Drosophila melanogaster: one gene and its partners. The protein of the gene in region 3 purifies or fractionates together with the protein of the main gene of each other region. This does not show direct contact. Each region holds a gene or a part of one and is shown on either strand. Other genes may lie near its edges. The genes, in order: Slbp, Jupiter, CG10638 and Prosalpha6.

Region 1 (6,578 bases), on a different chromosome or scaffold from region 3:
ATAACGAAAAGGGATCGTGTTATATTGCTTACCCTGAGCCAAAATGGCACCGTACTTCGCCATCACATCTTCGTGCTTGTTGCTAATGACCTCGGCGTACAGCTGACGGAAGAAGGTGGACTTGGGACAGCTCTGGTCCGTGTGCTGAATCAGGATCATGGCAGAGGCGATCAAAGCTCCCTGGCGCACAAAGTTGACCGGATCGAACTTCACCATTGGCTCCAGCAGGGCAATGGCCTCACGCAAACCTGTGCCGGCACAGGCGATACCAAGAGCCATTGCGGCTCCGTAACGAACGTGCGGGTTGTAGGACTCTGCCAGAAGGCTGACCACAGAGGGACACTGCTCCGGAGAGCGGAACAGGATGAAGCCGATGGCTGTCACAGCAGCACGTCGCACATCATCATTTACGTCGGAGACGGCCACGTGTAGCAGCTTGCGGATGGCCTTGTTGCTACCAGTACCATTGTAGGCCATAGCTATGGTGTACATTCCCGAGCGGCGCAACACAGGATCCTTGTCGGAAGACAGGCTGGTCACCAGGGGGTCGGCCTCCTCCAAACGAGAGAACATTGTGAGGGAGATGCCCACGGCTAGGCCGCGTAGGATCTTCTCGTGCTGCGTCTCCTGCGCATACGACACCATGTCCTCGATGGCCTGGGCGTTCTTGGAGCCCAGCATGACCATACCCATGGCAATGCCCGCCGCCTCTCCGGTAACCGCGTCATCCTGATACAAATTAAACTTCAGCTGCTCATACAGATCCTGGCGATGGGTGCCCATGCCAGCGAGACCTAGTCCCAGGCAGCCGCCATGACGCACATTCTCGTTTTGGGCATCCTTCAGCTGTTGCAGCAGGTAGTCTATAATGTTAGCTCCGTGATTCGCATGGATCAAGCCCAAAGCATAAAGGGCACCACCCTCAGAGTAACCAGAACTTGGACCGGCCTCCTTTGGCAGATAGCTCTGCATGAGAGCCAGGGAATCCTTCTCGTGACCCCGATGAATTACTCCAAGCGAAGCGGTTGCCGTCAGCTTGGCCCAATTCGTGGCCCTGGCCAGCCAGTCGAGGTTGTCGCGCAGGAATTGGTCGGAGGTGGTGCCGCTGTGCATGAAGGCGTTGGCAATAACAGTGGCTGTGTGGCAGATAGACACGCGGACCGCTTCCTTTGTGCCTCGAAGGACCTGCAAATCGGCGTGGTTGCTGCGGATGAGGAATTGGAGCTGTAGGTCGATGGAAACCTCGCCGGAGAGGATCGATATGAGCTTTTCAATGTTCTTCTGATGCAACTTTTCAACCTCGTTAAGGGAATCGATTGTGCGCTCTACTTTATCATCAGCTAGGTGAATAAAATGCGATTTATAAGTATTTTAAGGGACTGGATTAGAAAACCGGGTTTACCTGGCGTCTCCTCTGTGATATCCTCGTCAGACTTGGACTTGTCTCCCTCCGACTTGGCACCATCCTCGGAGGTGGTACCCTGGGGCTTAAATGTGCTGGGGAGGGCGGTTGGGATAGGAGCGGTGTTTTTGAGGTGCTGCAGCACATTGCCCAGAAACTCTTGCGTGGCCGACTCGTACAAATCAAAGGCAATCTGATAGGCCATCAGATTGTTTGTCTCCACCGAGGACCGTGTGAGGTTGTCCAGCATCTCGGCTACGGCGAAGGGGTCCTCCAGGAAGATGAGGCACTGACACATATTCACGTAGTCCGGCACACCCAGATCACGGTACAGACTGACCAGACAGCGCAGCACCTCATTGCGGAAGCCACGGTTCTGGATGAGGGACATGGTCACGTTGTAGGCGTAGGCCAGCATGCCACGCACATCGTCCGACTTCATGATAGCGTCCTTGAAGGTGTCCATGCGACGGGTCTCCAGAGCGATGCCCAGAGCCTGGCGGAACTGGTTGTCGTCCAGACAGCGCTGAATCATCCTGTTCACAATGCCCTCCAGCCGCTCGTCCACGACACTCGCCTCCTTAGGGTTCTCGATGAACTCCACCCGCTGGGCAATGTAGAAGTCGATGCACTTGGCAATGATGGTCTCCGTGTACTCATTGCGGGCATTCACGTCGAACAGATCACCAGCGCCCAGGGCGTACGTCAGAGCGTCCTCGAAGGAGCCCAGGTGATAGAACACCTTGGAGGCCACCATGCCAGCTAGCTTGTTTTCGGGGAAGCTGCGATCCTCGTGCAGCATCTCGATCTTCTCGATGGACTCCGAGATCTCCGGCCAGAACTCATCCACGATGTTGTCCAGCTTTTTGAGGGCGAACACCTTAAGATCCGGCATTGGCTCATCGAGTAGGGAAATTATCCCCGCGGCGGACGTAAGACTCATTTTCCAGCTGCGTTGTTTCCAGTCAAAAATATGTTCTACGGATTTTAAAGTGACGTATGTTCAACTTGGGCTCGAAAACTTTACGTTTGCTATGAAAACAAATCGTTCTTTTGCGTACTAACCAACAATTGCACCGTTTTAATTTTCAGTTTTCTTTTGTGCCGAAAAAATGCTAAATCACTCGGTAAGCAGACAGTGTTGGTAATGGTTGGTTGCTCGATGTCTTGCTATCGATGTGTACCGATGCATCGATATTGTTTGAGCCTCCCTCAGACAATTTAAAAATCGCTGTTAATTTTCTGTATGTTTAAATATGTATTGGACATCAAATTTTAACAAAATTGAAATGAAATGTAATACATTTGGAGCATAGTTTGAAATTAGTTGTGAGTGACCAGGTTGTTCTGTGTTGTGGTACCTTTTTGCCGCCTTCTTACCACCTCCACTTCTGGGCACACTGAGCATCGCATCTACAACAAAAAACGCGCGAAGGTTTGCGCAGAAAACGCAAAACACCGCCGCGACAACATCCTGGAGCAGCGGACCGCATCATACACAGCACAGTAAACAAACGAAAGATAATTGCACAACATGCTCTGCGAGGATCAGCACATGTCCGTGGAGAACACACCGCAGAAAGGCTCCGGCAGCCTGAATTCCTCAGCATCCTCCATTTCGATCGATGTGAAGCCCACCATGCAGAGCTGGGCCCAGGAGGTCCGCGCGGAGTTTGGCCACAGTGACGAGGTAAGTGAAGGTTGGCTGCTACGATCGGGAACACAATTAATTCTCTTGTTTGCACGTGCAGGCCTCCAGTTCCTTGAATAGCAGCGCTGCCAGCTGCGGTTCCTTGGCCAAAAAGGAGACAGCCGACGGTAATCTGGAGTCCAAAGATGGCGAGGGCCGGGAGATGGCATTTGAGTTCCTGGATGGCGTCAACGAGGTAAAGTTCGAGCGCCTGGTCAAGGAGGAGAAGCTAAAAACGCCCTACAAGCGCCGACACTCGTTCACGCCGCCCAGCAACGAGAACAGTCGCTCCAACAGTCCAAACAGCAGCAACTCCTCGGCCAACGGAGATGCAGCTGCGCCCAAAGGCGGCAACAATCCCCATTCGAGGAACTCAAAAAAGTCTGGCAACTTCCGCGCCCACAAGGAGGAGAAACGGGTGCGCCACAACAGCTACACGTCCTCCACCTCATCGTCATCCTCCTACACCGAAGCCGATCCCGCCATCCTAAGTCGCAGGCAGAAGCAAATAGATTACGGAAAGAATACTGCCGCCTACGAGCGCTATGTGGAAATGGTGCCAAAGGACGAGCGGACTCGCGATCATCCGCGCACCCCGAACAAGTATGGAAAGTACAGCCGCCGCGCCTTCGATGGGCTCGTGAAGATCTGGCGCAAAAGCCTCCACATCTATGATCCACCTACACAAGCGCGCGACACGGCCAAGGACAGTAATTCCGACTCGGATTCTGACTAGGATCGAATCTTGTTACCGGGCCGGGCTATGTTTTTCAAATATCGGGGGTTTAACTACTAATTTTTATTTCAAGTACAAAGTTAAAACTATGAATCAAACACGCATCTTCGAGTCACAAGGCCGTGTACGGGGAATTGTTACGCAGATGTTTTGTTGAATAAAATGGCGTCTTACAAGATCCTGGGTTTTCTGTCGTTTGCTACCTGAGGAAGTCCTTGGTGATTCGAAATTTTCCGGACCGCCGGCATTTTTACTGCGCGTGCTGTCCTTGTAATAACGTCTGCTCTTAACTAATTTTGATTTAGGGTAGAGTTATTGTGAAAAGAAAAGACAGGACTCACTTCTTTATTTTATGTTAATTTCTTTTTCTGCATCTTATTCTTATGTTTCTTATACTTGGTTTTAGAATATCGAATCCCATTGATATTTTTTTAAATATACAAACTGGCGAGAAAATAGCTAAAGCAGCACCCCCGTTTGCCAGTTGTTTGTTTTCACTGTGCATGTGCCACTCCAAACCATTTCACGAACTCCTCAAGTGCACACCACCAAACACAGATGTTTCTCAAGCCGTACAGACCCAAGAGCAGTGCTGCCCTCAAGGGATCCGATAGCAAGAAGTTCCGGCAGCGCGTGGAGGCGGCGTTCCCCCATGTGTCCGTGGATCAGCTGGTGCCGGCGAAGGCGGCGGTGACCCAGGTGAAGATCCTAACGCACGGCGGTGTTCAGAGCATGGTCTACTGCGTGGACAAGTTGCCTTTGTTCTTCGAGCTGGACGGCGGTCAACTTGTGCCCACCCTGTACACCCTGTGGATCGTTCCGGACATCCTGCCCTATTTCACCACCCACGAGGGTGTGTTACCCAAGCTGACGAACGGAGCGGATCTCATGCTGCCCGGAGTGGTGCCCCTGGGCGTGGGACTGAGCATGTACGGGCACTTCAAAAAGGGACAGTTGAGTGGGTATCTGCTTGGGATTCCCCAGGTAACGAGTATTGATCTCATTGTCTTTTTCAGTGGCCGTAAACCTCACAAACAACAAATCTGCGGTGGGCGTGGGCCAGTTGGCTCGCTCCAGCGATGAACTGTACATGTGCGGAGGTCACGGTGTGGCCATCAAGATGCTCCACCTCTTTGGGGACAAGCTCTGGTCGCATGAGCCCAGTCTGGTGCAGCAAATCCCGCTGGTCAAGACAAAGGCCTTGTCTGGCGAGGATTTCCCTGCTCTTGGGTCTGAGACGGAAAGGAGAAAGACCGCCAGCCCAGCTACTCCCGCTCCTGTGACCTTCGCTACGGTGGCCCAAACCGAGGAACTGGAAACGGAAACTGCTGCTCTGACCTTGGAAAGCCAGGAAGCTCCCGAGTCCGACGAAGAAGCCGTGGAGGAAGCCTCACCAGAACTTATACTCAAGAATGCCTTCCTCTCCGCCTTGAAAAACCATGGAAAGAAGCTGCCCCTGCCTCTGCTGACGAGCAATTTCTACAGACTCTATGTGGTCACGGAGGCCACGGAGCAAATCGACCTGAAGAAGACGCGCTACAAAAAGCTCTCCAACTTTCTGGCCGAGATGGTGGACCAAGGATTCATTGTGGTGCGGGAGGAGAGCAAGGGAGTGGATAAAATCACATCTGTGGACCTGGAGCACCCCGAAGTGGTGAACTTTATAACCGATGTCAAGGCAAGCGAAGCTAATGGAGCGGCGTCCGAGACGCCCCTGTTCCACTCCGAGCTGAAGGAGATGTACATAGTGACCGATGTTACGGCGGCCTTCTTCACCAAGCTGAATTACAAGCGCGGCGAGGGAATCCCGGCGGGTCAGATCAAGAAGATTGTGCGGGAGTACGTGAGCAAACATGGTCTCCTCCATCCGCTGACCAAGCTGGTGCGCCCCGACGACACTCTGATCGAGCTGTATGGTAACAGAGAGGTTTCGCTAAGCGAGATGTGCTCCCTCATCACCAGCAAGATGGAGCACTCCTACCAGATGTGCAGCGGCAAAGATACGAGCGGGAAGCCCCTCATCCAGATGTCCCTGGCCACGCGATCGGGCAACAAGAAGGTGACGCTGGTCAGCAACATCGAGGCGTACGGCATCATCCTGGCCGAGTTCATCAAGCTGTGCAAGCAGGGAGCCGCCGCCAGCACCAGTGTGGTGAAACTGCCGCACCAAAAGCACGAGCAGCTGCAAATCCAGGGCAACCAGGTGCGATTTGTGCACACGCTGCTCACGGAAACGTACAAGGTGCCGCCCAAGTGCATCCTGGGCCTGGAATTGGCCAAGGACGGCAAGAAGAATAAGAAGAAGTGAGCCGGACAATAAATGAAGCCTCCTCCGCCTGTCCTCTTGAGTGTAATAATAAATTATTTATTAACTGTAGTGGGGATGAACCAATTACTGCTACGCGAACAACAACAACGAATGGGATTGGCTACATCTTGAACAGAAGCGTAATCAGAATGCTCTGACTTGTGCCGTATTTGAGTGGATTCTCATGAGGTGTGGCCTGCGTGCTTACTTGGCCTTGCCCTGGGCGGCCACAGCCTCGATGGCCTTCTTCACGGTCTCCTCGTCGCCGAGGAACTGCATGGACACCACCGGCTTGAAGTTCTCGTCCAGCTCGTAGACGAACGGAATGCCCGTGGGCAGATTTAGGGCCATGATGGCGTCCTCAGAAAGGTCTGGATTGGACAAGGATATGGTAAAAAGATGATATGATATATGTTATGTCTCCCATGCTCACTGTCTAAAT
Region 2 (8,149 bases), on a different chromosome or scaffold from region 3:
GCGAAAAGCGAAAGTGTTTGCCATATCCATTGCATTCGTTCTACAGAGATGGTGGTTTCGGGGGGTTTTAACGGGCGCCATTGGAAATGGAGATTGATTAAAAGATTTACTCCGGCCGACGATGATGCATTTCCCTTGATAATTTCCCCGATTCAGCGATTTGCAGCTGGCCCCTGAGGCCGCTGCTAATGCCTTAATAATATGATAAACTGGCCCAGCCAAAAAAGAGATTAATTTTCAAGACATTTCCCAGCAGCAGTAGGAGCGTCGGGAAAGCAGGCAAGTGAGTTGTTAGCCCAAACTAAACGTGGCATGTGGCAAGGGGAATTTTGAATGTTAAACGCTGGATGGGGCATGGCTAAGTTTCCAGAGCACAAACCATCGAGCCAGGGAGCACGGAGCACGGATGTCTTAGCCTACTGGTAACCGCTCACCTTTCTGACCGAAAGTCGCTTTTTGATGGCTTTCAGCTCACCGTGTGTTTGACTTCCTCTACTGTTTTCCCCTTCTCAACTACTCCATTTACTTTTTTTTTTTTTTTTGTTTGGTGGTTTCGGTTGTTTGCAGTGCACGTTTTCCTAATTGCTCCACTTAATCTCCGCTTTTAAGACTTTTTGGTGGTCAGTCAATGGCCCGCAGAGAAAACTAAATACTATTCATATGTGAAAATGTACACAGGGGCAGTGCTCCTTTGTTTCAGTTTGCCATTTGGCTGGAGATACATAAGTGTAAGTGAAAGATGAAAGAAATCTGTTTGCATTGAGTGATTTCATGGGTCGTTGAGCGTCCAGCCAAACAAAACTAATCTAATCAGATAGGTTTGTTTATATATCTATAAATGCATTTATTGACTGTCTGCTCATTAAAGAAAGTTTACTATTCGCCCCTCGGGGTTTTTTAACAATAGCTTTCGCTCCTATAACACTAGCTACGAGTATATCCTGACCAAATCCATTCAAATGTGCCTTGAGCTGCTTCCTCACCTTCTCACGATCGTTAAAGGCTCTGAATTATTGCACCTGTAACTCCAGTAGCTGTGCCCACATCGCTAAAAAAAAAAAAAAAAAAACAAAAAAAATAAGGAGCGTGAGCTATAAAAGTGAGTGTAAAGTTTTAATTAACGAAAGTTGGCCATAAATATGGCTTGGAAAATGCATTTCCGAATGTCACAGATACATGCCACAAATTTCCATATGTCGGACACGTACGTACAAACGTATGGATTATCCATTATCCATCATGGTAATTATGCAGGGCTTCGGCAGCCGGAAATTTCACTTTGTGCAGTGAAATTATTTATTGGCTTAAATATTCGCAGTATGTGCCGAAGAAATGTCTGCTGCTTGGCTTGCAAGAGGTGAGGTGTCGTTGCGATGCGATGCGATGCGATGCCTGGTTTATAATCATTAGGGTTTGCCGCCACATCACTTCAATTGTCAGTTACCGCTGCCCACGTTCAGATACTCGTACTCGTACTTGTACTTGCAATCCATCCCTACTTTAATGCCTTATGATGTTTTAACTACCTCGAAGTCGACCACATGACAGGGCACCACGTCCACATGGAGTCGGAAAAACGGGACGTGGGTGGGGAGGTGGGGGTACTGGGATGGGGCAGACGACTTCGATTCGAGATTAGACACACACACGCAGACACTGTGGTTACCCGAACTAGTGGCTTTAGCACACCGTCTCTAAACTTAACCAAAAGCTTATAATATTTTATATTATATATATGTATATGTATTTATATGTACTTTGGCGAAAGCCTGTTTAAATGTGAAATGTGTGAATGCGAAATAGGTAAGAGACATATTTATGGAAAGCGGAAATTTATTACGATAAAACAGTCGAGCACGCTCATATGTATTTAGCCAGAGACCACTGTACACGAAATAAAGTGAGTGCCGACTGCGTCTAGTTCCACCATTGCACTTCTCCTGGGCAAACATCAGGCGACACTTAACTATTAAGCAAGAGCTGCAAGAGAAGTCGGTGAAGGAGACGGAGCTCTCCTATTTTTAACCGCATGTCCCCACAGTCCCCATTCCAAGTCATTCCCCCCGCCCGCTTTTATTATTCCATTCCTGGACAAGTTGGTGCTGTTAATTTTTTTTAAGGGGAAAGGAAGAGGATACATATTATATTTTAGAAATTATCTCAAGATTATTCTTATATCAAGATTACCATAATTGACGTTACTATAATTGAAATTACACCATAATTGACATATTTTTCAATATTTCTCGCAGTAACAATTTGAATAAACTGTGAGTTGATGGGAAACTAGCTGAACTGTCAACTCTGGGGCAAGTACATAACGCCTAGGCTTTTACTTGCGCACAGCGACCGGCAAAAGGGGGCAAGTGGCATGTTGGTGTCAGGTTGCCGCATGTGCACCACTCCGCCGAATGCCCGCACCACCTCTGGCAACCCGTGCACCGCTCAGTGGGTAGCTAGTCCCACGACCCACCGATGGTAAAATAGCAAAACGGCAAGAAGCAGCGGCTGCGGCGACGACACGGCCAGTCAACTTTTGGCTCGGCTAAACAAAAGTGTCTTCGCAAGCTAAAAATAACCACTGTTTTGGCCCAGCTGCTTCCAACACACCCCTACCCTCTCCTCATTTTCCCGCCGACTTTGTGGCTCCATGGCCCGATCCTCTTAGTCGCTAGCTTGCGCTTCCTGTTCTGTGTGCAAATCTGTGCCAAATGTTTTCCAAGAAAACGCAGTATGCAAATACATATTGCATTTAAATTCTTGCTGCAGCAGCAGCAAAGCAGCAGCAAGTGTGGCAAATACAGGAAAAGGGGCAAAAGGGGCGGCCTCATTAGTGGCAAGACACTTGAAATTAGAGTTTGCAACTACTGCTACTGCTGCTGCTGTTGGCCCCAACCGAACTGAACGCTTGGCGATGATGAAAGTGATTTATGTCCGGCAAAGCAATGTTCCTCAGCTCCTCGTAGACACGAGACCCGATGTCTGGCCTGGCAGCAGCTTCATCTTGGCCAGGAAACATGTTTGTGGGCTGCTACCGCCTTGCAGCTGTGCTGTCCACACCCTGTAATCAAAGATAAGAAGCGTGTTGGAAATGGGGGGGGCTAAGTTCATAATGTTTTAGTACAAACTGAAATAGATATGAGCCTTTCTTTCGGCATTCAACTGCGATTTGTTTGTAGAGCTTGGATTTAGATTATAATAAGGTTTGGGTTTATAAGCCTGGTAGTTGAATTTTAGTGAATTGTGTATTTTTTGCAATCATTCAATAAAGTATAAATTTGATTTTTGCTATGGGTACATTTGGGTTTAAAACTTTGAATGCACTTGATTTTTTTAAGAGAAACTAGTTTTAAAAAACGAAGAAGATCAAGCAGAAGAAGCTGAGAAAAGAAACAATTGCATAGGAACCCTGAAGTGCACTAGACCTGAACTATTACTATTTTTTCGCTTTTCTAGCGCTTTTTGCAATGGCACGGCATAACTGAAGCATATCTGCGCACACTTCTCGCCGGTGGGGCACATAAAATGAGATAAATAAATGCAGAATGTTAATCCCGCAAGTGTCTTAAACACGGCTTAAGTATATGTTTTATTTTCGCTTCAGTTCCTGGCGTATTTTAAACTTTTTTGTGACCTACAAGCGGAGTGAAGAACTCACCACGAGTTGGGTTCTGCCCCACAAGTGAGAGATAGAGAGAGGGAGAGAGCATGGAAGAGAGCGGGCTCCAACTCTAATCAGCATCAGCTGTAGTTTGTTTTTGTTTTGATGCGCCACATGGCGGGCACTCACTCTCTTGCGCTCCCGCTCTCTTCCCGTGCAGCTTTTGCGCTCTGAGTGAGTTGGGTTTCGGTCGTTGTTTTTGGATCGATAAAACTTCTCGCGCTGCCGTGGTATAAAATGCTTTTCACTTTTCCCACTGCACTTTAGTCGCCAGACATTTATCGAAACGTGCACATCACCAGCGGTCGCACACTCAAACATATTGCATATATATATATATATATATATATTGCTATCCCAACAAAATATCCTTCGAATCGAAAAAAACCCACGCGAGTGCAAATCAAAAGTTTTTTAGCTTTCTTTGTGAGTGAAGTGTTTTTTGGGAATTTTTTCGGTAGTTGGTTGGGAAAACGTTGCAAGATATCCTGGCTTATCCAACTAAAGGAATTTCGTCCGTTTTCTGTCCGCTCTTACTGCACCCCCCTCTCCGCATATCTCTTGTCCGTTCTCTCCCGGGATGCTCCTTGCATTCTCTCGCAGTTGAGTAGGGTTTATTGATTTTACGCACATGCAGCATCCCCATCTATGAGTCATCATCATTCGTCCTGCAACATTTTCCCCCACGTGCCTAATCTCCGTTTTCCCCCACATCCGCGTGCGCTTAGATTTTTCCAGTGCGAAAAGTAAAGCAATTGCATCCATTCAACAGAGAGATTATCCTTTCGCCAAACAAATAGAAACAGAAATGGCCGCCTACGCTGCTTTCAAACACGTTGAGCTTTACAATGTTGGCAAAGCAAAGAAGAGGTAAGAAATTCCTAAAGGATACAGTTAAAGTGACATTTTTAAAGACTTCAGAACAAAGAATTTGCATGTCAAAAAATGAATCGATAAATTCGTTGTCCGGATTTATTACACATTTTTACACGGAAAAGGGAGTTCATCAGTTTTTGTCAATGCATGTCCCCATGCAAGAAAAGTCGTTTAATACGAGTACAAAAAGTGGCCTTTGTTAATAATGCTTTTGTCAAAAACCATCTTCTGAGGTTTTAAAAGGGTATAAATCACCATGACGCACAAAGAGAATCATATGGCTGGTAATTTCAGTAAATAGATATATTATCAATATTTATTCAAAATGAGTCTCACTAATTATGACAAGCTGCAAAGAATTGAAGGAATATTGTTTTGACAATGACGAACAATGATTAGTAGGTTCTTTATTAACAAATAATGTTCTCATGTAAATCATTACAGCTAGGACAATCAATATATTCTGTATTTGTTTAAAAATCTGTGTATCATAATAACGTAACTTACACGATGTTACTCAATGTGTTTGACTTATATTGAGGTTATTCGCCGACCGACTCATTTTCCCTGAAGTTTAACAACTGTTACGTGCCTACTGCACATTCTGTTATTGTTTGCCATCGCTCGAGTGAACTTTGATTGGCAAACATTTCGGAAGGCAGCAGCCTCATCGTGATCTGCATCAACATCTCCATTTCCATCTTTATCCCATTGTCTGAGCTGTCGGGCCGCACAAACACCGCACACTTACATATTCATTTGGTTATGTGTGTAGATTAATTTAGCGTTCATTCACCTCGCCGCCGCCTGACTGACTGACTAACTAATACTACCCATACAGTCGCGTGTGCACGGGGCGTATGTGTAATCTGGGGAGCACCACTTTTGCAAGCGCCTACTTCCCACAAAACCGAAACCACCTAGCAAGTGAACCACCACCACCCAGCAAAGCCAAGCCAAGCCAAGCCGCCGGTGTTGGCATGTCTTTGGATGTCGTCTCATTGATTTTCCTTTGCCAACCCAACGGCCACCTGCCCCACGCCAACCCACCGCACAAAGCACCACCCGCGACACCACCACTGCAGTCGTCCACTCGATGCTACCGCACCAAAGTCAAAGGGACCGACCGGCGTTCTTTGGGAATATACCCTTTCTTGCTCCGAGGCGTATGACAATCTCTTTTCGTGCCATCAAAACAATGCGCAATTTTAATTACGAGGTGTTAACGAAATATACTATTTGACGTGACACTACTACTAATAATAATAATGTTTGCACATCTAAGCAAAAGTGATTTCTCGGCTTCATCTGTGTTTCATTTAATTTCAAGGAGTAACTGCCAAACCGCTCTGTCAGTCTTTGCATAAAAAAAAATGGTGGCTTTATTAAACTATTTTTAGTTTATTAAAACTTGTTTTATTAGTACATAGACTTTGAAAGTTCAAAGTGTAGAATGGCATTTTTACAGTTATGAAGCTTATGATTTTTTATGGCATACTAAAATCCATAATAGCCGCCTATGGTGTACTAAAAACATTGGTTATGCAGTTATTATGAAAATTCAATTTTAGCTTCAACTCACTTTTCGGCAATCAAACAGATTTGTTAAACATAAAAACTGATTAGATTCGCCCATTATCCAAATGATACGAAATATAATAAAATGTTTATTATTGAACAATCACGTCCTATTACCGCTAAAAATAAATCATTATATTATTACCGTTTATCGCCGCTTGTACGACGAGGGTATTTCCCCCATCGACTTCTCTCAACTATGGCCCGCCTTTCTTTTTCAGTTAGTTTCGGCATTTGTTTTTGCATGCAATTCTTTGACCAAGCCCCATGTGCCCAGCACCACCCATTTTTCGCCTTTCGAGTGGGGAAACAACAACAAAATCGTTATCGAAATGTTTTTCGCTTATGTCTATTCCGTATACCACTCTTACGCTCTCGTACCTGTTCCGAGTTTGAATTCGTGTCCAAGTCCGCTTCCCTGTCCGCTGTTCCGACCGTCTGTCCGTCCGTCCGTTCAACTGTCCGTTTGTCCGTTGTCCGTCGTCCGCTGGTCCGTGGCGGACATTGAACCCCGCCTCTCTTCGCGGCCGTTGGGATCGGAGATTAGTTTTGGTCGCGGCAGAAACCAAATAGAAACAATTTTCCTTATGTGTGCCATGTGCATTATAAACAATTTGCTGGATTTTATGGTCCATCGATGGGTGGCTGGCTGCTGGGGATAAAGTGTGGAAAATGTGTTAATCATTGTCATTGATTGCGATTGTGTAACATACCGCCTTGGACTTTCCCGCCGGCGGCTGGGGGGAAAATGATTAATATACTTTTCCTCTGCATTTCGATGCAGCGTTTTGTCTGCCGTGTGTGTGTGTGTGTGTTCTCCTTTCTTCGGCAAAGCCATGACTTATTATTGTAAACAATCAAATTAAATCTCAAAGGTGCGACGCGCCAAGATATCGGATTGAATTGTCGCTCTTTGTTGCGTTGTATAAGCGGCGGAAATCATGACAATTCATTTTGTTTATGGCATTGTCTATCCATCTGACGATCATTATACGCTTGAATTCCTTTGCACAATGCCCGCATATCTACTGTTTACAACCTGAAGTTAACCTCATTCTGCAAGGAAAGTCGGCAAACAAATCAAGAATTTCCATATATTTATAACCATATATAATATACCGCGATGGGAATGTTTTTTTTTTTTTTTTTTTGGCGTTGCCAAGTCAACATTTATGCAAATGATTGCAGAACATGCGGAAAACGAGCCAAAGTCGTTATAAGGAATAATCAACAGAAATCTACACCACAACCCCACCACATACCCAGTATCAGCATGACCTATTGACAGAACCGAAAAGGAAATCAAACACATTTTACCGTAATGCCTGCGTCAATGTAATTCCTGTTGACACGGAAATCGGGCAGGAAAAGTGAAGAAAAACTTTTCGGCCCTTGGTGAAAGTGTGTTCCCCTGGCAACCCCAAAATGTATATGGTATGTACATTATATGGACTCTTGATGGAACCCTAGTGTACCTTAGAGTGCCTGATACGATGAATGAGGCTGTTCAGTATTCAATTCGCATCGATCGGGCGAAAATTGAAGGAGAAGGAGAAAGAGGAGTATTTTGGTTATCCTCTCGTCGGGAGGAGCTGTGTGTGAATATATTAGAAAGTCCTTTCGCTTTTCACAAAGCCGCAAATTAATCAATACAAATTTATTAATTACATATTTAAAAGCGGCAGATCTGCAACTTTCGCTGCGATGAGTGTGTCAGCAATTCTGGTATGGTTTGACTTTGGCTTTGGTTTCGGTTTTGCTCTCTGGCTCTGAAATGCACAATTTACGAAGCCAATCCCAGCTTACGTACGCATATACATAATAATAAAAATGCCAGCATCACTATCGGCATCTACATACATGCGGCTTTTCCAAGCCAGCTTTTCCTTTCCTCTCGAGCACAGCACACTTTCCTCGGAAACGGCAACTGCAACCGCACACGGCTAATCGATAATTATTCATCGGGCTCAGGCCAGCACTATCGATAATTGACAATCTATGGTTTGCCTGTGCCGCACAAAAAAAAAACTCCTT
Region 3 (8,454 bases):
GCATACGGATAGGAATTGGGAAAATCCAGTGACAAACGATACGTTTGCCCCGAATACACCGTGTTCCGTGGACCCGCTATGGTGCCCACCCACTTGAAGATGTTCTCGCCGTCCGGAAACGCTGAGATGCCCCTCTCGTTGGCCATCATCAGGTTCATCAGTTCCTTGTGCAGTCTGTGGGTGAGTGTGAGTGTGTGTGTATATTGGCGGATTATCTAGGCTGCACCATGTGCTACTCACCTTTTGCTCACGGCGTGATTGTCTTTCACGGGCATGGAGTCATCGCTGTGCTTGCTGCCGCCGCCGCCTGCTCCACCACTTTGCTCGGGGCTGATATTCTGCGCCATGACTATATATCTACGTCTATATATGTAGGATGCTAGTGCTATCCGCTGTTTGGCTTTCAGTATGTGCGTGTAATTTAGCGCGCTTCGTGGCGGTCGGGTTTTCGATTCTCAATTGTGATTATATGTACTGTATAGTGGAAATTTAGTTTGATCGGTCGGAATACGCGTCTGTTGCTTTTTCAGATATTTTTTTTTTCACTTTTGTGTGAAAACAAAATGGAAGGAGAACGAGAAGAAACTGTGTTTGGGCACAGGGTTGTATTTCATTTATTTTTGGGGGGAGTCGATACGCTCTCTTGGCGTGGTCGAACGGTCACACTGGCCGAGAGATAACGGAAAATGTTTCAAAGGTAAGTAAAGATTATAAACGTATTAAGCTTAATACTATAATTAGCTTACTATTCCAAGTATGTATAATTATTACACGTTTAAAAGGCATAACGTTAAGTGTAACCAAATTATATCAATGGATTTTGAATACCAATATTATTTATTTTATATTTTGAGCTTAATATATTAAATCACATATATTTAAGCCTCTTTATATATGTAAATATTTTAATTTTATTAAAATAAATTATATATTGTTTTGTAATATGATCGAGGGCTGCCACCTTGTGATAAATGCTTACCAACACTTTTAGGTACGCCGTTTAGTGTACGTAAGTTGCGTACCTAGATATCCAGCGAAATCAAAACATTGAGTAAATCGTGGAAAATGGATGAAAATAGCTTAATCTACGGACTCGAACTGCAGGCGCGGGCTTTAACACCTCAGTACGGAGAGAGCAACGATGTGTGCTTCTTCATAGCCACCAACTCCTTGAAGCCCACCAATCAGGTTCACTTAATCCAGTACGAGGAGGAGCAGGGATCCGTGCAATCAAAGGTGAATATCTGGGATGATCAAAGTATGAGCTAAACATACAACTTTGAACAGGTCTTTGAGCACGCCCTGGGTGAAGTTTGGAAACTAAATAGTTGTCCGCGTAATCCTCGCCTGCTGGCCTCCGTCTACAATGTACAAAAGGGAGCACAAGTGCTGACCAAAGCGGCTCTGTTTACGCTGCCCGAGAATCTCAATCCCGATCCGGAGCAGCTGAAGTCAGAGTACCTGCCGTGGGAGCAGGTTGAGGTCCTGGATACCGAAGCACTGGGCGAACGTGTGAAGACCATCGAATTCCATCCCAACCAGGACACACTCGCCTGTGTGGTGGACAACAAGGTGGCTGTGATGCAGCGGGCCGAGTCCTCTACTCGCGTGGTGGCCGAGGTGCCGGCCAGTGGTTCATCCAGTGGATCTGCAAAGCACACACAGCATTTCACCAGCGGCAAGTGGTCGCATCATCATCAGGGCCACCAGTTTCTCACCCTCCAGGATGGCAATCTAAGTGCCTACGATGTGCGGGATACACAGCATTGTGCCTGGAGCATCAACGATGCGCATGGTCAAATGGTCCGTGACCTGGACTGCAATCCCAACAAGCAGTGCCATTTGGTCACCGGCGGTGACGATGGCTACTTGAGGATCTGGGACTGTCGCATGCCCAAGGCTCCCGTTTTCGAGCGCTCCGATCATTCGCATTGGGTCTGGTGCGTTCGCTTCAACACATTCCACGACCAACTGATCCTCTCCAGCTCCAGTGACTGCAAGGTGCTGCTCACGTGTGCGGGATCGGTTAGTTCGGAGACGCAGGTTCAGGCTGGACTAGATGAGTCCAACTTCAGTGGTGCCGATGCCGAGGAGAGGCACAAACTCTTGCCAGATGGTCTGCTGCAGACCTTCGATCAGCACGAGGACTCCGTTTACTGCGCGGAGTGGAGCAATGTGGATCCGTGGATCTTTGCTTCGCTCAGCTACGATGGTCGCGTCATAATCTCAAAGGTGCCCAAGCAGTACAAGTACCAGATTATATTTTAAGCCATTAGTTTCTTAAATTATTACGCATATTTCATTTAAATCTAACTAAACGAATTGTGTCCTTGTATGTAGTAGCAGGTTATACAAATATTAAACCAATAAGTTATTATATGAAGATAAATATATCGAGGGACTAAAGCTAATTAGGCTTAACCTGTATCCTCGGATGTGCAGTCGGAGGAATCATTGGGATTGGCAGTTTCCACGGAACAAACTCGCTTGATCAGCTCGTTTTCGATCTCCACAGTGCCATTGTCCACTGCCTCCTCCATCTGCACGTACTCTATGGTGGCGGCACTTTTCTTGGTGGATAGGACAGGTTTTGCGGCAGCAGGAGCAGGTGTTTCTGCAGTCTTTTTAGCCTGGGCTTCCGTATCATCCTCGGCTTCCTCAGCCAAACTGCTACGCTGCGGCTGAACTTCGGCGTAAATGGCGGGAAACTGCGACTGTAGCTTCTGCTTGATGATCCGTATCTTGCGGAATATGTAATCCAGATCCTTCTTCATTTCGCTCAGGCATTTCACGTGTCTTTTGAAATCCTCGCTGGCACTTTTCAAACGACTCTGCGATAAGGCATTGCAGTTGAGCAGCATCTCGTTGGTTTTCTCAAAGCGTTGCAGCCTGTGGGATATATTTTGGATGTTTATTATAATCTCTGGTTAAATGAAATGGCTTACATTTGCTTTTGAGCCCGTATCATGGTCTCCACATCGCCCTGATTCACCATTCCTGCGAGACTTTGAATGAAGGCCTCGGCGGCGGAGTTGCCGAAGCCAGTGAAGGATTCCAGGTCAGGAGTGGCATCCTCGGACTGGTGCACATCCGCAAGGCCCAAGTGGCTCATTGTAGCCTAGAATTTATTTGTTTATAATAAGGGAGAACACAAAAATTGATTTGTTTACTTGCTTTTCAAGGTCTCAAGGTTTCTTTGCGACAACTTGAACTCTGCTTTGTGTGCGTTTGCTGGCAGTTTTAGTTTTTTCTATTTTTATTTACGTTTTCAAATGGATCTCATGTTTCCATCTATTTTAAAAGTTCTTTTGTTTAGATTTCTTAAAAAAAAAGATATTTTCGTAACAGCTGTTTAAGTACTAGTTATAAACCAGTGCTGCAAGCTGCCAAAATGCAAAAGCACTGCCGTAATTAAATTTGAACATTTTACTTTTTAACATAAAATTAACACTGTTTTATGACAACATTTGTTCCTATTTAATATAAATCAAAGTTTCTTTAGCTATTTAAACACTTAAAAATATTTAAATAATAAAGCTTAGCAGAATGGCATTGGGTATTTTTACGCAAAGCCGTTTTGGTCACACTATGCTCACCGGCTTTTTTTTTATTAAGCGATTGAATTTCCTTATTTATTCTTGATTTAAACGTGCAAAATGAAGCTCGCTCCGACTGTTAAGCTAAACAATGGCTACGAGATGCCAATTCTGGGCCTAGGAACCTACAATGTAAGTCCTTATCATCGGCGATGCTAATAAATCAGCAGGCAGAAATTGTTTATGGAAATTTCTACCATTCAATTCCAATTAAGTGCAATTGTGAAATTGAAAGTTAATTATGTTATCTGTAGTTAAAGAAGTCTCGCTGTGAGGCTGCCGTGTGCCACGCCCTCGAAATGGGCTATCGGCATATAGACACCGCATATCTGTACAGGAATGAAGGCATTATAGGCAAGGTTTTAGCTAAACTTATTGGCGACCAGAAACTGAAACGCGAACAGGTGTTTCTGGTCACAAAGGTAGGATATAGTACAGATGGGTTATATATAGTTACCAGCACATGTAAATAGATCGAAAATCAATATCCAATTAGCTGTGGGACATATACCACGAACCCAAGATGGTGAAATACGCCTGTGATATGCAATTAAAGCTACTGGGCGTGGACTATATAGATCTATATCTGATGCATTCGCCGGTGGGCGTGGACTACATCTCTGATGAAGATCTGATGCCCCACGAGAATGGCCAGCTGAGGACCAAGTGAGTTTGGGATACAACTAAACATACATAGTTTAGATTCAAGAAGCTTAAAGAAACTGATCTTTGGAACTTATAGCGATGTGGACTATGTGGACACCTACAGAAGTATGGAGCAACTGGTGCATCTGGGGCTGGTGCGCAGCTTGGGATTGTCCAACTTTAATGCCAATCAGCTGAAGAGATTACTGGAAAACTGCCAAATCAAGCCGGCAAACCTACAAATAGAATGTCATCCGGAATTGGTGCAAGTCCCATTAATTGAGCTCTGTAAATTTCACAATATCACCGTGGTTGCCTATTCGCCACTGGGGCGTCCCAAAGCCTGCAATCCGCTGCCCGATTACTACACTGATTCCAAGCTACTGGCGTTGGCAGCGAAATACGGCAAGACACCAGCTCAAATCATCCTAAGATACTTGGTATAAACGACCTTAGAATTGTAAAGTGATAAAGATATTTATTGGCTAAAAATCTACAGATCGATATTGGCACGGTACCTATTCCAAAAGCTGCCCAGCGAGCCCATCTCGTAGAGAATCTGGATATATTTGATTTCCACCTAACGCCGGAGGAGTTGCTCCAAATGAAGACCTTTAATACAGGGCGCAGAATCTGGAAATTCGATAAAGCGAAGAATCATCAGTACTATCCGTACTAGCAAGAGATATTTAGTGTTCGGAAAAAAAGTGTAACTATGTAAATGTATAAGATAGAATCTCGTTAGATAGTTTAGTTTTTACGTTAGTTTTTTTTTAGTACAATATTACAATGTTATAAAATGTCATCATATCAATCGTTATCATATATAAATATACTATATTTTGTGCTAGATATGATCCTATTAACATTTTAAGTGCTCACCTGGGGAAATAATTATTTGTATCTCTCTAAATGTCTCTATCAAAGTTTATCGAATCTTTCGTGTGCCTTGCGACGTTGATCAGTTGTATAATTTCGGATATTGTTTCGATTTGTCAATTCGCGGCTCTCCGATATGCTCACAATTTCCTGGCCGAAACGAACGTGTTGCTGTGGTCGAAAATAACAATATACTGATCTCAAGAGTCGCATTATAAAACACATATTTGATTCTGTCAGAAAGGAGAAAGGTTAATGATGAATTTGATATTCTCTATTTGCAGTCGAAGGACAACGAAGGCGAAGCCGCTGTGAAACATGCGATTGATGTGGGCTATCGTCATATAGATACGGCCTATTTCTACCAAAACGAGGCCGAAGTGGGCAAGGCGATTCGGGACAAGATCGCAGAAGGTGTGGTCAAGCGAGAGGATATATTTTTGGTCACTAAGGTAAATGCCATGATGATATGTTCTAGATCTATCAATAAGATTATATTTTTGCGCAGCTTTGGAACATTTTCCACGATCCAGAGCGCGTTGAGGGCATTTGCCGCAAGCAGTTAAGCAATTTTGGCTTGGACTATATCGATCTGTATCTGATGCATATGCCAGTGGGCTACAAATATGTAGATGACAACACCCTGCTGCCCAAAAATGAGGACGATGTGCTCCAACTGAGCGATGTCGACTATCTGGATACGTACAAAGCCATGGAAAAGCTGGTAAAACTGGGCCTGGTGCGCAGCATCGGAGTATCCAACTTCAACAGCGAGCAGCTGGCACGAGTTTTGGCCAACTGCGAGATCAAACCCGTCACTAACCAGGTGGAGTGCTCGCCTGCGCTCAACCAGAAGGCTTTGACAGCCTTCTGCAAGAAGAACGACGTCACCTTGACGGGCTACACGCCTTTGGGAAAGCCCAAGCCGGATATTCAGAAGCCGGACTTTATCTATTCGCCGGAGGTGGCTGTTATTGCCAAAAAATATGGCAAGACTACACCGCAGATTGTGCTGCGTTACCTGGTAATTGAGGCATCAACCTGACCTCAGCGACAGCATCTAATTAAAATCTCTCTTTTCGCAGGTTGGTCTGGGTGTCATTCCCATTCCAAAGTCATCGAATACTAACCGAATTTCTGAGAACTTCGATATCTTCGATTTTGAGCTGACAGCCGAGGAAATGGCCGTTCTCGATGGTTATCACACTGGCGAACGGGTGGTGCCATTAAATTTGATTAAGGGCCTCAACCACAAGTACTACCCCTTTTCAATTGAGTTTTAAACCAGATGAGCGCCTTGTTGCTGTATCACGAATATAATGTAATAAATTTGTCATTACATCAATCTCTATGACAACAAATTGAATGCACGAATGTATCTGCATACTTATTCCAAACCCAAATCCAACACAAAGCTCTTAGTGCCTTGATGTTCTCCATGAAATCCGTCCAGTTGCCAACGATCCGATCCGCACCCCACCGTGGAACTTATTCCCAGAAATGAGGAGCAAATGGAAGCATCGATCTTTGGCACGGCACGTTTGACATCCAAGCTAAAAGGTGAAAATGTTTGAATAAGACCGAAATATTAAGTATTAAGCTTTTACGACCAATGGTAATGCGAAGTGCTCAAACTTGGAGATCACCAATGGAGATTCAAATTTAAGTTACATGTGGAAAAAACTGTATACCTGCATTATTTCAATCATTTCAATAGTTGTTCAGCTTAGACATTGATTAATGAACTAGTGATATTTTTAGAAGGTGCTTCAAGCTTTTCTACAGTAACTTTAGATATAGAAAATAGAAAAAAGTTTAGTAAGTAAATAAGACGTAAAAAAGCATATGGATTTAAGATGGATATGTGATTTAAAAAACGTTCTTTTAGAAGAACTTGTGCTGATTGCCAGCTGTTAGCCTAAATTGCTACATCAATTTTAAGGACGCATTTTTTGTTTGCCAACATTCTCTTATCAATGGATCTTCTATTCTGATGTATGGCCAAAAAATATCACGCGGAAGCTATTAGTTGCGCCAACCGCAGAAATGAAGCATGAAAGTATTATGGCTATTAGTTGATGTACCTATTACGCCCGACAGGCTAATTATCTTTGGATTGTTGGGTACATTTTGGGTTAATCGCGCCGCCGTAGACCTTTGTAAATAGCACCTCGGCCTGTGGGGTGACGTCAGAGCCAGCCAAGATGAGCACGGGCTGAATGAAATTGGGGTCGTCTAGCCTTTGAGCTGCCCCAAAATAGTGCATGGATGAGTGAATTAAATAGCGGACCGGACTTGGACTTACGTGCTGCTCCACGAGTCGATTAGAGGAGAATCTGTGGCATGCGCCACCTTGACCCAGGCCAAGAATAACATAACCCACCAAAACCACTTTCCATGCTGCAGATGGGTATCTCCTAGCTGGGATCGGATGCTCACTAAGTGCTCCACTGAGCCTCTTAGCCTCTCCACTCCAACCAAAATTCCACTCAAGCGTTTGAGTGAGTGAATTGCGGCCGAGAGCGTGAGGTTTAAATAAATTTTCAGTCAAAAAATTGGCAGTTTCGCTCCAAGCGTGCCCACGTTCACATCGTCGCCAGTTCAGTTGCGGAACTCATACACGGATATATATACACATATATTCCGGCGATCAATTAGAGCCCCGGAATTCAGCCACATCCCTCCCCTGCGACGCGTCCAAATATTGTTATATAAGTTTAACAACTTGTGAAATCCACGCAGTGCCAGTGCGTAAGACCAAAAGTGAGTTGAGCTGAGAATTACAACCCCCCCCCCCCCCCCCACATATACCATCTATTTGGTTGCAAAACCAAAAAGGATCGAATCGTGCATTATGTAAAGGCCCGAGAAAAGCGAGGTGGCGGGGAAAAACTTTCGCTTTCACCCAAGTACAGCTGGCTGCAGCTGCTGCGCATGCGCAGATACATTCGCAGATTGCTACTGTTTGCCGGGGATAAACCAGCCACACTATCGACTTGAATAAATCAGGTTCCCAAATAAGATACATTTGTACTTTTTGAGCCAGAAAAGATAGATTCTTAGAATGATACTATAGTTGGTAAATATATAAAATTATAGATATGATATATGAGCTATTTTTAAAGGATTTTTTCATAGGCTCTTTTCATAGTAAGCTATTAAAATGTTTTCTAAAATCTTTGCGCAATAATATTTCAATTTAAAATGTAAATAATAATAATATTTTTAGTTATATTTCGCTAGCTCCTTGAATTTCTCCCAGTGTAGCACTTGCACACCTTTGTTGATTGCTCTAAACTAGGTGCGTGGGTGTAGCCAAACTAAAATCGTATAG
Region 4 (6,664 bases), on a different chromosome or scaffold from region 3:
CTGGCGAAGAAGTTCTTGAACATCTCCTCCAACTGATATTGCGTACAATAGCCAATGTATTCCTTTAAATCGATTCTACCAGGACGAACTAAGGCGGGATCGAGGCGGTCAATGTAGTTTGTTGTCATGAAGACAATTCTGGCCTCCGTGGAGCCCACACCGTCCAAGCAATTTAGGAGTCCACTGAACGTTATCCTGTTGAGACCGTCAAAGGCGGATTTCTGCTGCGGAGTAGCTTCGCGCGAGACGAATGCTGCGTCGATGTCCTCCAGCAGAATGATACTCTGCTCTGGCGCAACATTCAGGAGATGATTGAGTCGATCATCGGTGAGGCCTCTTTCGGATAGGTTTAGCAGGCAGACACTGTACTCCAGTTCGCCCGCCAGGGCGGTTATAAAGCTAGACTTGCCACAACCAGGTGGCCCGTACAGAAGGTAGCCTCTTCGGTAGGGGATTCCACGTTGCGTATACCACAGAGAGCTCTTAATGAAGTCCTGGCAGTCGGCAATGATTCGCTGCGAAGTTCCGCGATCCAGCACCACCGATCCAGTGGGACGCCTTCTGCGCGGATGTCCGAAGGGTCTCCATTCCGCACCCATCGCTGTGTACAGCACGGTTTTGCCCTCTGTGGCCTCCAGAGCCAGCTGCCTAGCCTCTTCGAGGATATCGAAATATATACCTTTATTGTTACCAAACGCTGTAAGCGTCACTGTCTCCCAAGGAACACCCATGTGAAGGTCCAATGTCTGTTGTTCCCTGGTCCGCTCCACCTGAATCCAATTGCCCTTGTACTGGAACAGATGCTTGCCTATGCTGGGTATGAAGTCATAGCTGGTTTTGATTGTGCCATTGTCGTTCTGCACAAAGTTTGTCTCCACGCTCAAGTGTTGCGTTTTTCGCGCTCCTCTGATCGTAATCCATTTTAACAGCCACTGATAGGATTTGTCCCGACACGGCACCTCCAGGGTAATCATGCAGTGCCGCCGGAACAGTATCACTCCGCCCTGGAGGCCCTTGCGCAATATGGCAGCAGCGGCGCCCACACCAAATAGTCCAAAACCGGCACCAAAGTAGGGATTTGACGAAAGTCCAGCTACAAGATCGGGCAAAGTCATCTTGTCTGCAAAAACCGAGAACAAGGATCAACGTTTAATTAAAGTGTTTTACTCTTTTTCGGCAATAAAACCCTATAAAACAACACCTGTTGCTTAATCTATCATCCAAAACATGGGTTCCTCCTGTAAACAATGGTACATCTTTTCGAAGCAACTTTTTAAACAAATAAAACTGAAGTCTAACATATACTGTTTACGTGCGCTTCAGCAAAGGCACCAACAATTTTATTTTCTCATGAGAAAACCATGTAATTTTATTATTTAAATCAACCATTTGCCATCACTCTCGTTATGTAATTAATTGTAATTTAGGTGTGAGCAAATAAATATACAAGTTGCCGCTGAAGTGGCACATTTTATTTGGCATAAAAACCATCTTAGAGGATAACTTGTCATTCACTAAAAGCAATCAACATTTTTTTATAGTAGAAATGTTTCAATACCGGCATTGATAAATATTTTTAATCCAACAGTGTGACCGAACTGTGAAATCGGAAAAATGCAAATAAGTTGGGAAAACTTATATCGAAAAACCAATATTTAATAAATACTATAAATAAATAATAAATGAAGGTTTAAAATTAAAATCAAAAAATTTTACCCATAACATTGATTTTTTGTATTCATTTATTCAGTTTGTTCCGTTTTAGGATCTATGCAAATGCATGAACAATTTTATTGTATCCTTGAATCTTACATTTTTAATGGTTAAGATGCTTTCATAGCCCTATAAATGCCTATGGACGCTGCTCGGTTGCAACCAGGACTTCTGGGTCGCGTGGTCCGGCTGCTGGTTCCTCTGGGGGGGATGGGCGATCATCGTCATCGTCGTTCCTGGGCGTATCATTGTCATTCTCTTTGGCAATCGCCACATGCTTGGCGCTGTCTTTATTAGAGAGAATTGTGAATGGCTGGTCTTTGCCGACGATGGCCACAGTGATGTCCTGCAAGAAAAACACAATTTACTAACTATTCGCGACGGGAAATGTGCAATGAACTTACATACTGACCGGCATCTTTGCCTTGCTCATCCGTAGGCAGGGTACCGAGTATAGCGCGAATTCCGTGACGGATGATTTCATCTTTGGAACTGTCCAAGAACTTGTTCAAATTCTTCTCCAGATAGGTGCGTGCACTCTGTGAACGCGATCCGATCGAATTGGCCTTGCAATTGAAAAAGGTCGCCGATGGCGTGACCTGATAGATGTGCGGACCCCTCTCATCGTAGCCGGCGACCAAAAGGCCCACTCCATACGGACGGCGATCGTAGCGCTGAGTGGTCGTCTGCATCTTGTTGCCCAGGTTAGTGATCAGACGCGAGACTGGATAGGTTGTATCGTACGAGTGCTTGTAGTTCAGGCACTCGGAGCGCAAGTACCGGCTAAGGACGCGGGCATCAGCCGTGAGGCCAGCAATGGAAATGCCCAGGTGATCGTCGATTGGGATGATCTTGCGCTGGGTATCCGATAGCTCCGATGTCGGCTTACACAGGGCGACAAGTACAGCGTAATCTTTATTTTTCAGGCCCACGGTTGCGGTGCCAAGTTTCACGGCCTCCATTGCGTACTCCACCTGGTGGAGACGTCCCTGCGGACTCCACACAGTAACATCGCTATCGTACTGGTTGCGAAACTGAAAGCAAAGATGTGAGTTTGTAACAAATGCAGTTAGCACACCATTATTCGCAATAAACACTTTACCATGACTTTTGAAATGCAAGCCGCTGAGCTCAATGATGACAAGTAGAAATGCCCGATAGTTAGTTATGGCACGCCGGGAGACACAAACAAACTGTGTATCGGGTATCGATAAGGGATTCGGGCATGCTATCATTTTTGGAACGATGCAATAGAACATTGTAGGATATGCATACAAATTTAAGGGGATAATGATATTAATTATAATCAGTAAACTTGTATGAGCACCTTGTTAATCGTAGTTAAATTAATTCCAGCACCACATTATACCTGACTACACACGTTTAATTGACCAACAATTACAGCATACCATGTGAGTAATACAATTTTAAACTATAACGGCTTATCGGGACTTAACTAACAATTAAGTTATATTTAGTTTAATTTATTAACTGCATACTTAAAAAATTAAATGAATTTCTTGTTCCATTCGCTTGTTCCCAACTTGCATTCGGAATCACTGCATATCGACTACAATCGATTGTTTTGCCATTAAGTCTGATAAGCTGTCAGTGGGAGTGTTTACGTTTTAATTGTATATTTCAGTTAGTTTTCACTCTCTCCTGTTTTGGGACCGAGGGTTTGTAGCTCCGTAATCGGATTGTTTGTCGAGGGTATATGCTCGCCTATATATATACCTCCACTCGAAAGTGTTAGCATCAAAATTGCATTGTTAAGATTAGTAGAAAGAAAGATTTTCGTGCGCACCTTAATCATAAAGCCGTGTAATTTAATTAACTGAAGGAATTAACTAAGGTGACTTCATTGCACACACACATACACACAAACCGCTACATACATATGTACACCTCATAATATCCCTATATACGTATGTGCACGAACAAAGAAAACATTTTTATTGGTTCGGCGCATTACTAATGTTTACAATTAACGATTTCTGTGAAAGTGATAGTATACTTATATTGCGTGCCCTTCAATGCGGCTACTGTTCGCTGTCCGTATTCCCATATCTTCGCTACAAGATTGCTTTATTCCGTGACATCCGCTTAGCTACATATCCAAATAGCGCAAAATAAATATATAAATAAAACATCGTGAATGGACCAGCACAGAATATTTCAATCCGCTGATCATATCCCATTCCCGATGCCATTTACCAAATGCGACTGACCACCAGCCAAATTTGCATGTGGCGAAGGGAAAAAAGGCAATCGAAGCGGTTGTGTCGATTTCCCAAGAAGTTGTACATAGTACGTAGCGAGCGAGCATAATGGAATTTCCCCCTCCATAAAATCAGACAACTAGTTGCATCATCACTTTCTCAGTAGTCGTTTAGTATTGTAGATACATATAACGAAAGCCAGTTAACGACAATGCGTTTTAGCGCGAAATTTAACGTATCAATGTCAAAGACCAAACCCGACTTATGTATGTAGCTCCATGCCCAGCTACCTTGTTAACCTAGCTAGTCGGTATCAAATGGTCTCAGTGTTCGTGGATTCACTCTATATTGACCATTGGGTCACAATTCTTGAACTGCTCTTAATGGATCACGAGTTTTTTGGATATTAAAACGCATTTTGTGTCAATTAGCACACAAATCATAGGTGTACGATTTCGAAAACTATTTCAATTCTTTTTGTCATGCATTTTTTATAGAATATTTTCAGTATACAAGATAGTAAAATCATTCATCTTTTTTTTTAAATACGAATGCAATTGTTTAGATTTATCTTAAATTTATTTTAATACATATTCTAGTTTGATTTTTATGACACAAAGTCATAAAGATTTATAAATATTAATTTATTAAAAGTTTAACCATCGTTTTGTCAAAATTCCGCTATTAATTTTAGCATTCTTAGAAATTTTGAATAATATTTTATTAATTCATATTCATGCCTAACAAAACATGTGGTATTTTTGAAAATTTTACTAACATTTTTCTTTGTAAATACAAAACATTTTGGCAAATAAAAGTTAAACAAATTCGAAACAAACGCAATCTTTTATTTTGGTATATTTGGTTTTCATATCGGTATATATTATTTTAATGAGTGGAGGGATTATCCGAAATTCTAAACCACCCAACCATATAATGTGCACTGTTTTGATTACATTATAATTTCGAGTATTTGATTACACCATTCAGCAATATATATTGACTGAAACTGAATGGATATTGAAGCGTGGCAATGAATCAGTTTTATTGTTATTCTTTCCTTAGGAGGCAGTTCTATTATTAGGAATACTGCTTATCGAATTGCAGCGCATCTGCAGAGTCTAAACAACAATTTAATCGCCAGATATCGCAATTGCGAGTTGCAAGTGTTCCAAAACTCACTTCGTTGTATATTTTGTATATATATATTTGGTTTGCTGGAATAAATGTTTATTTAATTCGTTGGAAAACGGTTTCATCTGGCTAAACGCAAATTTGCATGAAGTGTACTTTATTTGTGTAAGCGAAAACGTTGAATTTGCCAGGCTCGGATTACATTTGATTCAGTTCTTAGTCGAAAACCGAGACTCTTACTTCGAATATCATACATAATAGTAAGCCCAGGTGCATACTTTAACCAAAAACGTTCTTTACAGATATGCGATTGTGATAGAATGAGTCCAAGATCCCCGCTCAGGATATCTCCATTTGGAGTACACATCCTCATCGCTGCTGTGCTCTTTACGCTAATTCAATCATCGAAACAGGTAAACTAACATTTGGTTTTTATCATTAAATTTCAATATTTTATCAATATTAAGCATACTGGGTTTTTAATCGCGCAGATTAGTCGTCGTAAAATCATTTCTGAAAATGGACTGGTAAATTGTATTGGAAAAGCTGTTGTTTCACCTCAACAATGAATGAGCTAAAACAGATGCAAGGCAATTAGAAAAAATATATATTTTTATAGCTCTGGGTGGCGGTGAGATGACGTACTTAGTTTTGGAAGTAATATTTAAATTTGAAAAAGGTATTTGGGGTCAGCAAAAAGATAGCTAAAAACCAGACTTCAACTTAGCTTAGCTCACTCTACATATCTCTGCTCTATAATGTTATTAACTTATTTTGCAACTTTTTAAGGACTGCGTTTGGTATGGCGTGTGCAACACCAATGACTTTTCGCACAGCCAAAACTGTCCGTACAATGGAACAGCGAAGGAAATGGCAACTGACGGTCTGGAGCTGCTGAAGAAACGCTGTGGATTTCTGCTGGAGAATAGCGAAAACAAATTTTGCTGCGATAAGAATCAGGTTATGAGTAGCATTAGCTTTGCCCAGGCGTCATAATTATCAAACAAATGCCTTTGCAGGTGGAGCTCCTTAATAAGAATGTGGAGCTGGCCGGAAATATCTTGGATCGATGTCCATCCTGCATGGAGAACTTGGTGCGGCACATCTGCCAATTCACCTGTTCACCAAAGCAGGCTGAGTTCATGCATGTGGTGGCCACGCAGAAAAATAAGAAAGGTAATCATTATTAATAGCTTATTAATTATTGAATAATTATATATTCCGAATTTCAGGTGATGAGTACATAAGTTCTGTTGACTTGCATATATCAACGGAATACATCAACAAGACTTATAAATCGTGCTCTCAGGTACTTCTGGATTCCATATACATTATTCATTGATCGAAAATAATTATTGTTTGTGTTCAAATAGGTTTCTGTACCGCAAACGGGTCAATTAGCTTTTGATTTAATGTGCGGCGCTTACTCAGCATCTCGCTGCAATCCTACAAAATGGTTCAACTTTATGGGCGATGCCACCAATCCATATGTTCCTTTTCAAATTACCTATATTCAACATGAGCCCAAATCAAATAGCAATAACTTTACGCCCCTCAATGTAACGACCGTTCCTTGCAACCAAGCAGTTAGCGTA

The links.
Region 1: the proteins of CG10638 (region 3) and Slbp purify together in Drosophila melanogaster (affinity purification with mass spectrometry, with the first as the bait; one large-scale study listed by BioGRID). This does not show direct contact.
Region 2: the proteins of CG10638 (region 3) and Jupiter purify together in Drosophila melanogaster (affinity purification with mass spectrometry, with the first as the bait; one large-scale study listed by BioGRID). This does not show direct contact.
Region 4: the proteins of CG10638 (region 3) and Prosalpha6 purify together in Drosophila melanogaster (affinity purification with mass spectrometry, with the first as the bait; one large-scale study listed by BioGRID). This does not show direct contact.

What each region holds. Positions count from the first base shown.
Region 1 is NT_033777.3:29,149,498-29,156,075, reverse strand, and holds Slbp (Stem-loop binding protein), read left to right. Parts: upstream 1-2,809; 5' UTR 2,810-2,936; coding exon 2,937-3,092; intron 3,093-3,153; coding exon 3,154-3,828; 3' UTR 3,829-4,002; downstream 4,003-6,578. Other genes in the region: Rpn2 (regulatory particle non-ATPase 2), read right to left, coding at 33-1,340, 1,403-2,345; eIF2D (eukaryotic translation initiation factor 2D), read left to right, coding at 4,387-4,786, 4,845-6,136; Pglym78 (phosphoglyceromutase 78), read right to left, coding at 6,341-6,507, 6,570-6,578. UniProt on the Drosophila melanogaster protein: Involved in histone pre-mRNA 3' processing and couples histone mRNA production with the cell cycle. Both maternal and zygotic proteins play an essential and vital function for development.
Region 2 is NT_033777.3:11,600,524-11,608,672, reverse strand, and holds the start of Jupiter (jupiter), read left to right. Parts: upstream 1-3,918; 5' UTR 3,919-4,087; intron 4,088-4,389; 5' UTR 4,390-4,469; coding exon 4,470-4,531; intron 4,532-8,149. UniProt on the Drosophila melanogaster protein: Binds to all microtubule populations.
Region 3 is NT_037436.4:12,496,439-12,504,892, reverse strand, and holds CG10638 (uncharacterized protein), read left to right. Parts: upstream 1-3,581; 5' UTR 3,582-3,656; coding exon 3,657-3,728; intron 3,729-3,850; coding exon of another isoform or gene 3,851-4,018; intron 4,019-4,092; coding exon of another isoform or gene 4,093-4,262; intron 4,263-4,338; coding exon of another isoform or gene 4,339-4,681; exon of another isoform or gene 4,682-4,692; intron 4,693-4,740; coding exon of another isoform or gene 4,741-4,920; exon of another isoform or gene 4,921-5,092; intron 5,093-5,123; exon of another isoform or gene 5,124-5,291; intron 5,292-5,404; coding exon 5,405-5,572; intron 5,573-5,628; coding exon 5,629-6,144; intron 6,145-6,205; coding exon 6,206-6,403; 3' UTR 6,404-6,787; downstream 6,788-8,454. Other genes in the region: vih (vihar), read right to left, coding at 1-174, 241-347; CG10646 (uncharacterized protein), read left to right, coding at 1,066-1,236, 1,288-2,268; CG10681 (uncharacterized protein), read right to left, coding at 2,418-2,889, 2,946-3,112; CG10657 (uncharacterized protein), read left to right, coding at 7,883-7,883.
Region 4 is NT_033779.5:10,217,597-10,224,260, reverse strand, and holds Prosalpha6 (proteasome alpha6 subunit), read right to left. Parts: upstream 2,911-6,664; 5' UTR 2,819-2,910; coding exon 2,816-2,818; intron 2,748-2,815; coding exon 2,118-2,747; intron 2,060-2,117; coding exon 1,853-2,059; 3' UTR 1,715-1,852; downstream 1-1,714. Other genes in the region: Bcs1 chaperone, read right to left, coding at 1-1,115; Npc1a (Niemann-Pick type C-1a), read left to right, coding at 5,390-5,482, 5,859-6,029, 6,089-6,245, 6,302-6,378, 6,443-6,661. UniProt on the Drosophila melanogaster protein: The proteasome is a multicatalytic proteinase complex which is characterized by its ability to cleave peptides with Arg, Phe, Tyr, Leu, and Glu adjacent to the leaving group at neutral or slightly basic pH.